Tribolium castaneum: one gene and its partner. The protein of the gene in region 1 interacts with the protein of each later gene in a pairwise test. Links are inferred from orthologs where the notes say so. Each region holds a gene or a part of one and is shown in the gene's direction. Other genes may lie near its edges.

Region 1 (4,226 bases):
TTTATGTGGATTTTTTTTTATTAATAGGCATCATGAAATTATATAATATTTAATTGTATCTGTTTTTTTAGAAAGTTTACACAGTAGGCGCTAGTAGATAAGTAATTAATCTCACGAGAATAATAGTTATTTATTATACAAGACGATAAAATCTGATTTTAACTATGAGAAGGTTTTGAGAAGATAATGGTGCATTTTATCGTGTAAAATACAAAATTTTATTTCTCCTCCATTTTTTTCGATTATTTCGAATTACTGAGTTATTTTGATTAACAATTATAAACATTAAGAAATTTAACAATAAAAAATACTTTAAAAACAACAATAGTTGCGAACTATATTTTTCTAGGCGACAAAATTCCGTTTTACCATAAAGTAGACAGTGGATAAAATACGATTTTATCCAACCAAAAGCATTAACACACTCGGCTTCGCCTCGTACTACTTTTTCGTTGATAAAATTCGACCTTGTTTCACAAGAGAGTGGAATAAAGTAAAAATAATTTGTCGATTTTTCGAAAACTAAAATTCTTTAATTTTTGGGTAAGTGTCATACTTACCTCAGTTGCACTAAATTACAGATTCCATCTGGTAACTTTGTTAACAGGTTATGCCGAGCCCCCAAGGTTTCCAACTTTGTTAAATTACCAATTTCTTCAGGTAAAGACTCCAGATAGCAACGGTTACACCATAATGTTTCTAACGAAGTTAAATTTCCAATATCTCTAGTCAAGTCTTTAATCGGATTATGGCTTATGTTTAGAGTAATCAACTGAGGCAAATCCTTGAGTACTTCAGGGAAACGATCGAAGTTATTGTACTCCAGAGACAAATTTTGCAAATTCTTGAGCTGTCCGAGACACTTGGGCAGTTCAGTGATTTGATTATGACCAATGTTTAGATATGAGAGGTGGACACAGCTCACCAACAAGGGGGGAAATTTGACAAGGTCGTAATCATCTAGCGCTAAATTCGTTGCTTTAGTTCCATGAGCTTTTTCTATTTTTGCCAAAACCCGGTTTCGCTGAATGTAATCGTACACTGGATTCATTTTTGGAAGCATTTAGAGGTTATGTCGCACAAACTCACTGATTATTTACACAACTTGTACACAAGCACACATTTTTGAATAAATAAGAATCCAAAAAAGAAAACTGGGGGCCCGAGCCCCTACACCATTCCCAACACAAAAAAACACACAAACAATAATTTGTTTGTTGTCACAAGTGGCGCTTTGACATTTGAAGTAGTTCAAATCAACCAAACATTTTCGTATCATATGGTTCGAACGAAACAAACAATAAATAAAATAAATAACAAAACTGAAAAATTAGCGTTCGTTTGTACTTAATTTTAGTATTCTAAGGTCTACAGTTTTAATAAAAGAGGTCGTAGGTTAAAAAACACCACAGTAGTTCCATTGGTTGACACTTGTCACTTGACTGAGTTTCTTTGACCGGTTTCTTTTGCTTTTGTGTTAATTAATAATTGACTGGAAGCTTAAAGTTATTGCCTGTGATTTAATTCAACTCAGATTAGTTTGTGCAATGGCTGGAAATTTTTGGCAAAGCTCACACCAGTAAGTTACGATATGAAAACGGCCCCAAAATCACAAATGAATTTTTTCCAGCCAGCAGTGGCTTTTGGACAAACAAGATTTAATTAGGGAGCGCCAACATGATCTCCAACTCCTCACGGAGGAGGAGTACCAAAAAATATTTATATTTTTTGCTAGCGGTATTATTTATATTAGGTTATTATCAACTCTCTTAATTTATTTTTTCAGTCATTCAAACACTAGGCGAACAGTTGAAGCTACGCCAGCAAGTTATAGCAACCGCAACGGTTTATTTTAAGAGGTTTTATGCAAAAAACTCACTTAAGTGCATCGATCCGTTATTGTTAGCCCCCACTTGCATTTTTCTAGCCTCCAAAGTAGAAGAATTTGGGGTGATTTCCAATTCTAGGTTAATTACAACGTGTCAGACAGTCAGTAAGTTAAGTCACAGTCTCCGTGATGGTCTTAGATGGCTGGTCTAAAAGTTACCAGATATAATTTTCCCAAGTTTTTGTTAAAAAAATTACCGAAAAGCATCCAACTTCGGAACTACGGATATCTAAAAGTTAGGATATGGTACGACGTACAAATAAAACGTTCCTGTCCTTGATATTTCCGTTAATGCCGCCAGAGAACGCTGTTGTTCCATTACCAAGGTTTTCAGAGCAATAAATTTGAAAAAATGGTTGTATTTGTATAACGGTTAACACACAGCAAACAAAAAAAATACAGGCAAATAGAGCATTAAATTCTCAATAGTAGGACATAAACATAATGCAAAAATTTTATCATAAACTATATTTAAAAAAATTTCAAACTTTTACCAATTTGCACTCTGTCCCATAATTTTCAAAACGCTGCGAATACGGTTACAGATATAAATAAGTATATACTATTTTTATTCGAGGGACAAAAATTGGATAAATAAGTCACGTCGAATTTTTTTGAACTTAGGGATCAAATTTTATAAACAGAAACTCTTGAAAAGATTAAAAATATATTACCGGACAATCGTTTAATTTTTTGAGATAAATTGCTCCAAAACTAAAATTAAAAATGTCTATTTAATGAAGTATTGTTTATTATTAATTGACTGATCCAGAAATACTGTCTGTTGACAATACTGAATTAAAATTTTAAATGTTCAAAATTAATTGAAATTTGGTATATGCCTGAAAGTAAATTTATTCATCGAATTATTTGTTTAAAAAAAATTTCCATTTGTTCTGGGAATATTAAGACTAGCTAGTCTCATTGGTGAACCCAAAAGTCAAATTTAATATTTTTAATTATTTATTAATTTAATTTAATTTATTATGTAAAAAAAATATCGCACTAAAAAAATTGGTCAGCTTTGTAAATCTTGTCTTTATCTAAAGATAGCTCGTTGCCGCCTCAACTTTTACCAAAAAATAAGTAAAAGTTAATAATAATTGAAAGAGAACACATTTAATAAAAAAATGAGTTGTATTAATACTTATTAGCGCCACTGTATTTATAAGCATTGGTTGTTCTTCGTTAATTTATATGCTAATATCTAGCTTTCAAGTGTTCAATTTTCTCTAATAAATGTTTTTTTGTAGTTACGACTTTTTTGCTTAGTAACTTCAGCAATTTTTTTATTTCAATTGTTTTAAATTGAAAAATAGCGCTCTAAAAAGATGTCTATAAAATTGCGTATCAATTTAATTTTTTTCATTAAAGTTCAAAAGCATATAACATAAAGGTGCGATTTAAAGAAAATTTAAGAATCACGAAATAACTTAAAAATACGTAAAAGTAGTTACAAGGTTTTTGTTTAGCAGGTCAGTTTAATTCTCTACAAATTTCTTCCTAACATTTTTCTGTATCTTTAATTGTATTCGCAGCGTCTTCTTAAAGCACAAATTAAATAAAAAAATTCTCATGTTTGTCATGAAACTTGTAGTCGTCAGTCTTTCTTAGTCTGTTAAGAGTGCAAAACATTTCTACATTTTTTCCACGTTATTAATGAATTGGTTGGTTTTAAATTAATTTAAAACGATTTGGCGACAAGACGGTATAACGCTCGTAGCGCCCTCAGTTTTACTCTGCCGTACTATTTTTGGTCTCCTAACTTATAGTCCTCCGTATTCAGAACATACCACTCAACAGGGCGACCTCTCGCGGTTATTTAATTAATTACAGTTTAAAAATCCAAAAATTAATATTATATTCTGTCGTTAATAATTTCAAAGCCGTCTAAGATCGAAGGAGGCTAAGTTAAAACTAGCTTTTTTAAACAATCTATTTTCAGTTAAAAATAAGTTTAGTTACGCCTATAGTCAGGAATTTCCATATCGTACGAACCACATCCTAGAGTGTGAATTCTACTTGTTAGAAAACCTCGACTGTTGCTTGATCGTCTATCAGCCTTATAGACCTCTCTTACAACTAGTGCAAGACATGGGTCAAGAAGATCAACTTTTGACTCTCGCCTGGAGGATAGTGAACGATTCTCTTAGGACTGATGTGTGTTTGCTTTATCCACCATATCAAATTGCAATTGGCTGTCTTCAAATAGCTTGTGTCATCTTGCAAAAGGACCACAAGGCTTGGTTTGCCGAACTGAACGTGGACATAGAACGAATTCAAGAAATTGCAAGATACGTTATTAATTTATTCGAGCTGTGGAAGACTTACGACGAGA
Region 2 (3,548 bases), about 14 Mb from region 1:
CCCAGGGGGCGTCTCGGTGAAATCCAGCGCCGGATTAATATCATTTTTGAAGCCCAATTTTTTGTAGTCCCGTGTGAAACCACCCGGCCCTCGCCCACCCCCCGCCCCTTCACTATCAAAGGCAATCCTTCGCAGCTCCTTGATCTTATCATGGCCATCCTGATCTTGCGGATCCATCTTCGTGACCATCCTCTGTTCAAGCAGCCCCAACATCAAAGTCTGTAGAACGTACAACTGGTGGGCCATCTCAGCCCCTAAGGCAGCCCCCGTTTGTAAAATATGATTCTGAATCATGCTCCGCACCTGCTTCGTTGTGAGAGTGGCTGCCAAAGACCTGCGTTTGACTGAATCAGCCCGTAGAAGTAACGCGTTGATTAAAGCTATAGCGTTTTGTTGGACGACCGGTGTGGCCTGGAGGTGCCCCACCAGCGAACCAATAGGTATCTCACGTTCCACCTGGCCGTAGCCTTCAGTACTATTCAAAACGACGTTTTCCAAGATTGAGAGAGCGGCTTGAGTGACTTCGGCTTCCTGGGGCGAGTTAACAAAACTCGCAACGCGAGTTATAAAATCCCCGTTGAGGATGTCCCACGACACGATCCCGTGTTCCATCAGTTCGACGAAGGAGAGTAAAGTGTGGGCCAGAACAGCCCCCTTGAACTTACCCGTCTCGATTTGCTTAATTATTAAAGTAAGTCCTTGCTTGTTGATGAAATCCAAAGCGAACGTCATGTCGGCGCTTAGGTTTGAGAGACGGTGCATTGCGTGTGCTTTCTCTTCGGCATTTCCGTTGTGCAGTTTGTGGAGAATGTCCTGAGCTGTCTTCGAAGGTGAGTATTGGAGACGGAGCACCGAACCGTTCTTAATTTCGTTGCGATTCTTCTCCGTTATGTAGTTACGGTTGTTGTTATCGTTGAATTGAAGGGCGTACTGTTCGGGGTCGCTGAGATTCCATCCGTTGCACAGTTCTTGGATTATGCCGGCGAGGGGCTGCTTCTGATTGAATTCGATGAGTTGTGGCACTTGGTCGGTCATTTCGACCGCGATTTTTACGATGTACGAGTCCTTCATTGCGGGCATTTTGTGCGCACTTGAGATTCAAAACATTATTACGCGAGTTTTGCGTTACAGGGTATTTTTCATAAATACAACATTTTGACAAGAATGACAGGAAACGGGATGACACGCCTATCAGCAGGAACGCCAACACAATCCAACAAACAACATTTGACAAAAAAATTATAAAATTATGCAATTTTGTAAAAAATCTCTTTGTTAAAATAATGGATTTTTCTAAATTTAAAACCAATTCCAACTAATGTTATTAAATAGAATTTCTTCAATGATATCATAACAAGTATTTTTGTTGGGTTGGCGACAGTGGGCAAAGTCAGCTGTCAAGTCACAATAATAATTTCGAATTTTCTCGGTTTTTCACAAATTGTGACGATGTTGACAACAATAAAGACCGTCGGGAGCTGTTTGGTAATTGTCACGGCTATTTTAATTAAAATTTCTATTGCTTCCGTCAATATTGTTACATAACATAACCTAACATTTTAGCGCCGAACTTTGGGGGTCCGTTCCCTTCAAACTGCTTCAACCCTCCAACATGAAGCAGTTTTCAATCATAGAGACACTCCTGAAGACAACCCCGATATCCCTTTTGATTTCACCCCCGAAAACAAGAAGGTATGTACCTACAGGGTGTCTCAAAATTGGGAAATTTCGAATTTAGAGCGCTTAAGAGAATTATTAAAGTAGCTCAAATATAGAAACAAAATAAAAATTCGGGGTTTTCAAATAGAGATACATTTATTTAAAGATGCAATTCAAGTGCACTCTGTATTGGGTTTCTTCAAATGCAGGCTAAAAAATTTCAGTTATTCTCAATTCATTAATTAATTATTCTTAATAAATTATTCTTTATTCTTAATTATGGTGCAGATGATTGTGGAGAATAATAATGTTAAACAATTTTTCGAAAAAATAGCTTTATTTCGGAGCAATTTTTTTTAATTTTTGAAAGTTTTCTTAAAAATAAAACGGCAAATACAAAAATTTATAATTTTTTTACTTAATTTTATAAGAAATTGTTTTACATTATTATTCTCGACAATCATTTACACTATAAATAACAATAAACACTAAAACTTTTAGCCTGCATTTGAAGAAAACGCAATTCAAACCTACATATCTTTGTGGGGAAGCCCCGAAACTTAATTTTTTTCTATATTTGGACTACTGAAGTAATTCTCTACAACGCTCTGAACTTGGAATTCGCCAGTTTTTAGACACCTTGTATACTTGAAAAGCTTGAATATTTTTTTTGTAGAGAGCTGATGCCATTCTTGCAATTTACCCTGAGGGACATAAACGAGCCGCGATGATCCCCCTTCTTGACTTGGCGCAAAGACAACACGGTTGGCTCCCTATTTCAGCTATGCACAAAGTTGCTGAAATTTTAAACCTGCCAAGGATGAGAGTGTACGAAGTTGCGACGTTCTACACAATGTTTATGCGTAAACCGACAGGAAAGTACCATATCCAAGTTTGTACAACAACGCCGTGTTGGCTGAGAGGCTCTGACGAGATTTTAGACACAATCAAGTGTAATTTGAAGTTGGAAGTTGGGGAAACTTCGAGCGATGGCATGTTTACACTTTCTGAAGTTGAGTGTCTCGGGGCGTGCGTGAATGCCCCCATGATTCAAGTTAATGATGATTATTATGTAAGTTGTATCGAGTCACATAAAAAAAAACGAAAAAATTGATTCTAGGAGGATTTGACGGCCAAAGATACGGAAGAGATTTTGAACGATTTGAAAAATAATAAAAAACCAAAACCTGGCCCCAGGTAAATATTTCATGCCTTGGTGATAGAAAAGTAACTAATTAATTAATAGGAATGGCCGTTTTGCTGCTGAGCCAATTGGCGAGCCAACCTGTCTCGCCGGTGAGCCCCCAGGTCCAGGCTTCGGGGTCCGTTCCGATCTATAATTTGTATTTATGTAAAATAAAATGAATAAAAATAGTTGAATTGGTGCTAGCGCCCTTGTGGCCATCTTTTGAATTATAGTGACATTTGGAACAATTAGTGTGTTTTTTATTAGGTTGGTGTTACAGTTGGTCACACTGTAGCACGATAATCGCTCCCGTGGCGTCTTTTATAAAAGATAAACAAATTCTTTCACAACAAATTTAAATTTTCGTGTCGCAGAAATGAAACGTAAAGGACGGAAAAGCAAAAAGTCCGAGACGGAAACCGCCAACGGCGTGAGTGACCAGAAAGACCAAAACGGTGACGCTTCGGATCGGGACGAGCACGAATCCGAACCGGAGGAAAAAAAACGCAAGTCTAACAAACGTAAAAGTTCTTCGAAGAAAGTGGAAGATGAATCGGAAGAGGAACCGCAATATGAGGTGAGTTATGTAAAAATTTCTTGGCGCCTTTTTCTTGAGCTGTGTTCGGCGAAGATGGCCATCCACCATATTGTTTTGCTCATACCGACCATGTTATTTGATTTGATTGATTGTCTCTCAGGTTGA

The links.
Region 2: the proteins of CycC (region 1) and ND-24 interact in binary tests that used the Homo sapiens proteins (3 or more experiments, as listed by UniProt). The link is inferred for Tribolium castaneum from reciprocal best matches to the Homo sapiens genes CCNC and NDUFV2.

What each region holds. Positions count from the first base shown.
Region 1 is NC_087394.1:8,425,926-8,430,151, reverse strand, and holds the start of CycC (cyclin-C), read left to right. Parts: upstream 1-1,418; 5' UTR 1,419-1,547; coding exon 1,548-1,579; intron 1,580-1,630; coding exon 1,631-1,737; intron 1,738-1,786; coding exon 1,787-1,993; intron 1,994-3,833; coding exon 3,834-4,226. Other genes in the region: leucine-rich repeat-containing protein 1, read right to left, coding at 561-1,063. UniProt on the Homo sapiens protein: Component of the Mediator complex, a coactivator involved in regulated gene transcription of nearly all RNA polymerase II-dependent genes.
Region 2 is NC_087394.1:22,608,551-22,612,098, reverse strand, and holds ND-24 (NADH dehydrogenase [ubiquinone] flavoprotein 2, mitochondrial), read left to right. Parts: upstream 1-1,328; 5' UTR 1,329-1,449; coding exon 1,450-1,485; intron 1,486-1,563; coding exon 1,564-1,692; intron 1,693-2,335; coding exon 2,336-2,731; intron 2,732-2,779; coding exon 2,780-2,856; intron 2,857-2,905; coding exon 2,906-2,999; 3' UTR 3,000-3,044; downstream 3,045-3,548. Other genes in the region: Ced-12 (engulfment and cell motility protein 1), read right to left, coding at 1-1,080; chromobox protein homolog 1, read left to right, coding at 3,222-3,422, 3,544-3,548.